Drosophila melanogaster: one gene and its partner. The protein of the gene in region 1 interacts with the protein of each later gene in a pairwise test. Each region holds a gene or a part of one and is shown in the gene's direction. Other genes may lie near its edges. The genes, in order: CG1138 and scramb2.

Evidence for each region.
Region 2: the proteins of CG1138 (region 1) and scramb2 interact in a two-hybrid assay, tested with the Drosophila melanogaster proteins (one large-scale study listed by BioGRID).

Annotation. Positions count from the first base shown.
Region 1 is NT_033777.3:6,596,056-6,599,909, reverse strand, and holds CG1138 (uncharacterized protein), read left to right. Parts: upstream 1-1,887; 5' UTR 1,888-1,973; coding exon 1,974-2,846; 3' UTR 2,847-3,285; downstream 3,286-3,854.
Region 2 is NT_037436.4:3,043,293-3,048,379, reverse strand, and holds scramb2 (scramblase 2), read left to right. Parts: upstream 1-1,567; 5' UTR 1,568-1,628; coding exon 1,629-1,743; intron 1,744-2,163; coding exon 2,164-2,657; intron 2,658-3,248; coding exon 3,249-3,407; intron 3,408-3,510; coding exon 3,511-3,534; 3' UTR 3,535-4,267; downstream 4,268-5,087. Other genes in the region: Sk2 (sphingosine kinase 2), read right to left, coding at 214-1,190; Prx4 (peroxiredoxin 4), read right to left, coding at 4,425-4,475, 4,534-4,939, 4,991-5,087.

The DNA of each region.
Region 1 (3,854 bases):
ATTCAGGGCTTAACAAATAAGAATACTAGTTTTGTATACATTTAGACCTAAATCCAACAACAATTTCAGTACATTCCGCAGGATATATACGATTGCTGCTTATGAATGCAGAACAGTCGCTAAAAAGCCAACGAGTTGACTCGCTGCCAAGAGCAGCATTTAAATGAAAATGGCAAATTCATGCCACATAATGGTTAAACGACATCAGAAGAGCAACACGCAAAGCGTTTATTTTTTCTGAAATTCCAGGCACGCAAGGACAAGCAGCACACACTCAAAATTGTAAGGGAAAACTTGCAATTTATCCATCCGAGTTGCCTCCTGTCACCGGCACCAAGTTGTCCCACTCCTGCCTGGCCGATAACTCAATAGCGTAGCCCGGGGAGCATTGGCATAACTAAACTAATTTCTTTTAATTCAAACACAGCAACTCCGGCCCAACGGCTCTGTTGGACACTGATGGCCAAATGGCTGGGTGTGAAACTTTTATGTCGCCCCCTGCATGGACCTCCGCCCAGGTGGTCTTACCCACCTCCGGGCTCCTGCTTCCCATTGCCCAGTGCCCATTGCCCAATCCATTTCTCCCTGGCGGCAGCCCTGACCGACATTCGATGAATTGACCAACGCAGCTTGTTATTTTTCGTGTGCAACAGCGCGTTTTATTCGCTCCTGGAGGTTATGTGCCCCTCACCCCGTGGCATCTAGATTCAAATCAGAGATGGCACTTACCTATCCTAAGAAATCTTAAAAAAAAAGGTGAGCCAGCTTATTGTAAGCTACCGATTACCATCATTTACAATCAAATTATGAAACTGTCAATGATTTACCCTAATAAACATAAACAATTTTTATTAAGCCATTTAACTAATGGCTAGATTCGCGGAGTTTCATGGGTGATGTAGACATCCAAAACATGTAACATAAATTGGATTTGTCCTGTCTTTCCTGTATATTTATTGGTATTATTCAAGTTTGGTTTTCCTAGTAATAATCTTACAAACACAGGTTCTCTTTGGCATCACTAAGTGGTGGTGGCTTCCAAAGCCGAGTACAGTTCGCCTTTCTTTTATTTCTGGTCAAAACTTTTGCACTGTTTTCACCAGATTCCGCATTCGGGTAGTTGGACAGCTGACGTCTGTTTTTCACCTGCCAGGACCGCCCCACTCGGGCTCAGAATCGGATCCTCTATTTGTTTGCGTATGGGAATCGCCGGTGTCTGTCCATCTGTCTGTGTCAGTGTTTGTGTGCTCGTGAGTTTTGCGAGCAGGTGTGCGTGAGCTTTCGCTGACAATTGTGATTTTAGCAAAGGGTTTTAATTAGATTTCACTTCATTTTCCGCTGTCATTCAGTGAAAAGGAAAGCTTCTGCCTTCCGCAAAATCTATTCAATAATGTGAGCTTACCCATTGAGTGCACACTGCATCCAAACTCTTCTTACATTTTTGGAGTTCAGAGTGTCTAGAACCTGGCTTAAATAACAACATAAGTATGTATTTTCCTTATAATTGTATTTATATATAAATAAGTTTATGTTTTTGCTATTTTATTTGGGACAGTATAGTATCCCAACTTTTTCCGTCTTCATTTTGGTATTTTAAATTCACATTAAGCAGGCTTTTTGTTAGGATTTGAAATTCCGTGAATGGGAGTTGAGCAAATTTTTCAGTGGATTTTCTTGCCGATAACATTTTTATATATTGCGTATATATCTGCGTTGAAGACTGCATTAGTTGTAGTTAAAACTACAAATTAAGGGACGCTTTGAAAAAGGATATAATAATTGCACGTACCCAACTAAAAGATCGAACAAACCCATAGATAGATCGATATATACGATATTTTATCTAAGCCTTCATTGAGATTTGTGTTAGATGATTTGAAAACACTGGAAGTGCTCGTTGTGTACCGAGTTAGTTTCCGTTTTGAAGTTCACAGTTAATTGGATATTGGTTAATTTGGAGGAATGAATTCAAGATGAATTCATTACCAATACTGCAATCAGTGGACCAAAATTTATCGTGCAAGGCAGCAGGAATAAGTAAAATGGAAAACACTAAACCAAATGATAAGAAACTGGCACAATCAAAGTTCGCATTCAAACATAACGGGCCAAAAAAAGTGTTTCACTGCACGATGCAGAGTGTTTTGCAATCCGAAGATTGCTGGATCGCTGAGGAAGTTCTAGAAGAATCAAACGAGAAAAGCAATCTGGAACTCGAAGATATTTACGATGAGGTGTTTCGCTTAAAGCGGCGCGTAAATCGACTCAATTACCAACTAGGTACCAATATACCGGAATGCCCAAAAATAGATCCCTGCCTGGATGATCATATATTTTTGACAAATGTAAAGGAAGTTCATCCCGAAATTCTTCAGCTGAAGTTTGCAAGCCATAAACTACAGCACCAACTGACTCAGATGCAATCCGTCCGAAGATCATCCAATCTGGCCAAAAAACTGGTACGGGATGAATACTGCAGAAGCAAGAAATTAGGGGATCAGTTGCAGATTGAAATTCAAAAACTAGACTCCTTTAAGCTCAAATTCGAAAAACATCAAGGACTATGTCTTCAACGGTTTAGGTTCTTGGACCAAGATAAGTATACTGGCAGGGAGTTCTATGAATTTATAGAAAAAAGTAATGAGATGATAACAACTCAACTTAAAAAGCAGATGTTAAAGAGTGAATACAAACCTTTTCGGAAGGAAGCCGCTAGGGTGACAATCTCTTTAAAAACAGCCGCGGAAAATTTGCAAGATTATCTTTCAAGCGTGATAAATAACAAAAAATGTGAAATCTTCCAGAACGTGAAAAATTCCTGTGTATCCATTCGTTCAGACCTTTAATACTTTTATATTTTTTCGAACTCCGATTCGGCTTACTTCAAGGCGGCACCACGAGCCGCCCAAGCTCTTGTATCACCGGCACACAGACCTACTTAGCTCGTCCACAATAAACCCACAAAGCCCTCTTTAAATTGTTCAATTTGTCAGGATCCACGGGCCGGCCCTCCATATGCGAATTCCTTGATTATGTTGGTCATCGGAGGAGTCGCATCCACGGGACGGCATCTGCCACAAATGGTGGTACCCTAATGTACATTTGACTAGGAAGAGCATGTATTTTCTTACATGCGATGTGTTTCGGCATCCTGTAGGCCAAAAAAGAAAAATAATATAAAAATGTTATAATTTCTATATGTATATACATATATGTATATATATTTTGTACGCAACTGATATATGTAAGAAATTGTATCTATTACGTTTTAAATATATTTACATTAAATATCATTTCTTTCAATACTTTTTTTGCATTCTTACTACTTATTAAGGGTGAACTGTCCTCTTTAATTTGGGTCCATTTTTAAAAGAGCATCCCAATTCTGACGCCCAGGGTCAGGATTTTCTTTTGTCGCTTTCGGTTTTGGTGTTTGTATCTTTGGGTCCAACAACGAAATGTATTTAGCATAAAAATTTACGATAATGAGGACCAGAACAGCAGAGACACAGCGAGCGAGCATCGCCACCATGAGAAAAAAAGCACAAGCAGACAGCGCATCAAATTTCGCATAGGCAAATAGACAAATAACTGTGGTTTACCTCCCCTGGGAGGGGGGGGGGGTTGGTTGTTTAGGTGCTACGGGGGGCGGTTTGGGTTTAGTGTTCCACCAACATTTGTGGCCAGTTTCCAACGAGATGTGGTGCCACAGGTTCTCCGCAGTCAAGTGTCATTGCTCCGCTAATGTGCAAAGTTAAATTAATATTTACCACGAGGCTGTTGTTGCGCCTTGATTTCTTCGGTGGCATTTCGAAAATTGACGAATTTCAGTGCGGTCTAACCAGCATCAAAGT
Region 2 (5,087 bases), on another chromosome or scaffold:
AGTCTGACGTCAATTTAACTTTAAGGGGATATCCCCACTTGCAAAACAACAAAACCATTTGACACGATAAGAAAACTACTTTTGCTTATGAATGTAATCTAATGATAAACTGCATGGCTAGACGCTGGAGGGATTGTTTTACACGAAATATGAAGATCCACATAAGTCAAAAGGGGGTTTTTCCTAATGAAACATGAAACAAAGATAACATACTTGTAACAATGGGCAATGGAGCGGGCCAATCCATTTCCGGAGCCGCAAGGAATGATTCCCAGTGCCAGATGAGGCAGGACGTGGGCCCAGTCCTGGCGCTGCAGCAGTCCATTGACTATCTCGTGGAAGAGACCGTCTCCGCCGACAGCCACCACGCAGCACCAGGCGTCCAGGCACCTGGTGCTCAAGAACTCGATGGCAAAGTTGGAATGCTTGGTTACATACAGGTCGTAGGGCACCTCGGCCTCGTTGAGCACCGGCGTCACGTGCATGTTGAAGACCTCACGAGCGTCACCGGAACCGGATTTGGGATTCAACAGCACAAGCACTCGACGGCGTCGCTCATCCACCGTCGGCGCCACAAAGATCTCCTCCAGCGTGCGATGCAACTGCCAGCGAAGGGATCTGTACCAACGATCCGCCTCCCTCATGTTGTCCTCGAAGGTGTCGAACGACCGGAAGCGCAGAGTGAGCACCGTTCGCTCCCGGTGCAACTCCGACCGCAGGCTCCTCTTCTTCAGAACATAGGCAAAAACGTAGAGAAACGCGCTGACATCGCCGCCATCCGAAGGAATATTATCCCGACTATTGGTGCTGCATTTGCTTGGTGTGGTGGCAGGGCGATGGTGATCGCCGGACGCCGAGATGGCTGGCGAATTGGGATTACCGGAGCTGCACGCACAGGCGCCCGACATCGCCAGGCGCCGGCTCTTCTTGGGCCGCATGCAGCGGGCACCCACAATGTCCGATATGCGGACATGTTGCTCCTTAACAATGCTACCGCCCGGCGACTCCCGCTGCAGGGTGAATCCTGTGGCGTCAAGGCGCACCCGAAATACGTGGCTGCCCTTCTTGCGCTGGCTCGTGTAGAAGGTATCGCTCACGTCGTGGCCCTCATCCGCATCCTGCGTTCCCGGGGGCGTGGCCCTGGAACTGGCCGAGCTCGGGCTGGTGGTCTTATCAAGAGATTCGCTCATTTCGACTGGAGATTCGGCTGCCAAGCAGCATGTTTCAGGTCTTTTGTGTCCAGGCTTTTATGGATCGCTTATCATCCAATCATAGCCGCAGTGTTACCGTCGGTGGCAGGCGCGAATATACCAACTGGCACAAATAAACTCAAAATTCTTAGAACTTAAAGAGGCTAGCTTAAGGAAACTATTGCAATACAATGCAATAATACAAATGAATCCACAAAAACGTCAGCTCATAACAAATTTAACTTGTCACTGCATTGAGTGCTGAAAGCTTTTTGTTGATATTTTTCTGTGTTCGAATAAATACCAAAATATATGACAGAATATTTCGTACGGTGCATTTGCGTTGCATTTTTCGGCGTTCGCAACGCGGTCACCCTGCATTTAGTGTTTTGTGAACTGTTAAAGAATCCGATACGAATTTAATTGCTGGGAATAACAATGATGCAGATGAGCGAGTACAAGGTGCTCCCGCAGAATGCACCGCAGGACGAGAATGGCGCAGTGGTCCTGCAGCCGCAGGCGGCGAATGTTGGCAACAATGCCAACGGACCTGGTGCGTAGCGATGGACATATATGGATTTGTCCACTGTTGAATTCCATCACTCGGATGGACCTAGTCGGTTGCGCGCGTCTGTGTGGGCTAGTGGGCGTGTGCGAAAGGCGGAAATGCCGTCGTCTCTTTCTTGGCATTTAGTACAGCAGCGGGCATGGCAATAGCACCCATAGTTATCTATGTAAAAAAGATATTTTATAATGTACCAAAAAGTGAAGTGATTCCAAGTCAATACGTAAATACATATTGTTTAAAATATTAGTTTATGTTAAGAACTGCTATCACTGGCCCTAATCGCCTGACCGCCATTGTAGCTATGCTAATTTCCTTTACCCATGCATAGATATCGGAAAAGCACTTTATGCATATAGATAAATATAAATACATAGGGAGCTAATCCGGAACAACGCCCCATTGCAGAAAACTGGATGTCGATACCCGTGGGCATGCCCAACTGCCCGCAGGGACTGGAATACCTGACCGCTCTGGACCAGTTGCTCGTGTCGCAGAAGATCGAGAAACTGGAGCTGCTCACCGGCTTCGAGACGAAGAACCGCTTCAAGGTGAAGAACTCACTGGGCCAGAATGTGTACTTCGCGTACGAGGAGAGCGACTGCTGCACCCGCAACATGCTCGGCCGGTCGCGCCCCTTCGAGATGAAGATACTGGACAATTTTCAGAACGAGGTGCTCCACCTGTACCGGCCCTTCAAGTGCGACATCCTCTGCTGCTTTCCCAGCTGCATGAACGCCGTGGAGGTGTCGGCGCCACCCGGCCAGGTGATCGGTAGCGTTGAGCAGGTCTGCACCTTCATGCGGCCCAAGTTCAACATCAAGAACACATGCGGCGATACCGTCCTGCAGATCGAGGGACCCGTCTGTCCCTGCAAGTGCTTCAGCGATACCAACTTCAAGGTCAGTACGCAGCCAACAAGTGGTTATTCTTGGCTCTCGATCTCGATTCCCAATGCCCAAACAAGTGTATACACACACAGCAGCGGTCAGCGGATTAGCTTTAAATTCTTCGGAGGAGTACATATGTATGGTCTTCATCAGTCAAAGACGAAGCTTTATAAAATTCCAAAATGAACAGTATCAGGCGTCCACTTAATTGCTTTTTTAATTATTAAACATTTATAAGTGCCTATATACATATATTCTAAATAATTATGAACAGACAGAAGCGTTCAAATTAATAGCACCCACACTAGTTTTAAATTTTCAATTGTATACGTTATTTAACAGATGCCTCTAGATATAGGAAAATCAATCAATCAATTTATACTTTTTATGGCTAAAATGCACCAAGTGTTTGTGCCGATCTATGAGCCCTTTTACTGACCGCTGCTGTGATCGTACAGAAGCAAAGAGACTGCAGTCCGAGGCAGTGACGTCATGGTTAGCCATGCCTGACTGTCCAGAGCGAGTCAATTAATTGCGATGCCGCGAACTGCGAACCGATTAATGCGAAACGCAAACATCTCTCGCCCCTTTAACCGCGCACAGGTATTGAGCGCCAACAACGAGGAGATCGGCAAAATCAGCAAACAATGGTCCGGACTGGGAAGGGAGCTGTTCACCGATGCGGACTACTTCAGCGTCACCTTCCCCCTGAATCTGGATGTCCGCATGAAGGCGCTCATATTCGCAGCGCTCTTTTTGATTGTGAGTATATCAGTATATCATATATATCACTGAGTGAAATAAAGCATATGCCAGTGCTATATACTCGTTTCCCTTCATTGATTTGTGTTTGTCTTAATTCCAGGACGCGGTTTACTACGAGCAGTAGGCTGTATGATGAATCGCATTCTAAAGGAACAAACGCCCAAACATTATAATCGCCGACTGCTTTTTGGTTCGACGTGTTGCATGGTCATAGCTCTAAGAACTTTTTAACCCCTTATTTGATTAACGTTTCCGGGAATCTGAACAGTGCAACGCTTTGATCGATACGGAATCTCCGCAGCAAAGGAATCTCCCGCACAACTTGGATCTGAACCGCAGTTGCACCTTCGTTATTTTATGAACCTCGGTTTTGGCATTTAAAGCTCACCACAATGAAGCACTTACTGACAAACGCACAAAACGGAAAACAGAAAGCAGACTACACACGAAGAATCCGACGAGAACGAGTGCCTTATGACGTCCTAGTTATTGTCGTCGCCCCCGTCCCGTTTCCCCAGATTTATATACCTCGACAGACCTAGCTTTGTTGTACGCATAGGTCGGAGCACAGGATAACTTAATTGCAACCATGGCGTACCTAACTAATTTACTATTACCTTTTACCTACTACATATTACATATTACATATATTTTTGTATGAAACTAATTGCAATCGAATTGTTACCCATTAGAGTGGCCTAGTGAGCCAGCTTTCAAGGCATTTTGAGATCGAAAACATCTCCTCCTTTTTGGTACCGCTCCTGTGGCGCCGCGCAATTTTCATCACCTTCACATGTACTTCATGAATTTATTTATATCTCAGTTATGCTGTAAAATAAACAAACTATGTTTTGTACAAAGCAAATGCGAAATATTCACAATCGGTGGCATTGCGGATTTGGATTTTCTGTACAGAGGACTCTAGCGATTGTTCGTTTGCATCGTGATTCAGTCGTGAACATTAGGAATGTAACTGGGCTAGGCTACTAAGGTAATGTGCATCTCTATCTGTCCCTAGTTGTTCTTGGCAAAGTACTTCGTCTTCTCCTCAGGATTGGGAACGATCTGTAAAGGTAATGGTATCAAAAAGAATTTACCTAAGGCAATGCTTCAAAAAACCTACCGTATCGGCACCTGGCCGCCAACCTGCTGGGCAAACCTCTCCATGGGTGTCCGTATACTGGAAGGCCTGAACCAGACGAATAGTCTCGTCCACAGAGCGTCCCACGGGCAAATCATTCATGGTGATCTGTCGCAGCACTCCGGTCTGATCGATAATGAAGAGACCGCGCAGCGCATGACCGCTGGACTCCAAGTAGACTCCGTAGTCCTTGCTGATCTTATGCGTTAGATCGGAGAGCAGTGGGATCTTCACGTCGCCCAGGCCGCCCTCCTTGCGCGGCGTGTTTATCCAGGCCAAGTGGGTGAAGTGCGAGTCCACGCTGACGCCAATCACCTCGGTCTTGATCTTCTTGAACTCGGCGATGCGGTCGGAGAAGGCAATGATCTCCGTTGGGCATACAAAGGTGCTAAAATGGCAATGAGAAATGCGATCATACTAAATGTAAATGTAAACTTACAAGTCCAGTGGGTAGAAGAGTAGCACCACATATTTCCCTAGATACTGGGACAATGATAGCTTCACAATCTCCTTATTAACCACGGCGGTGCCCTCGA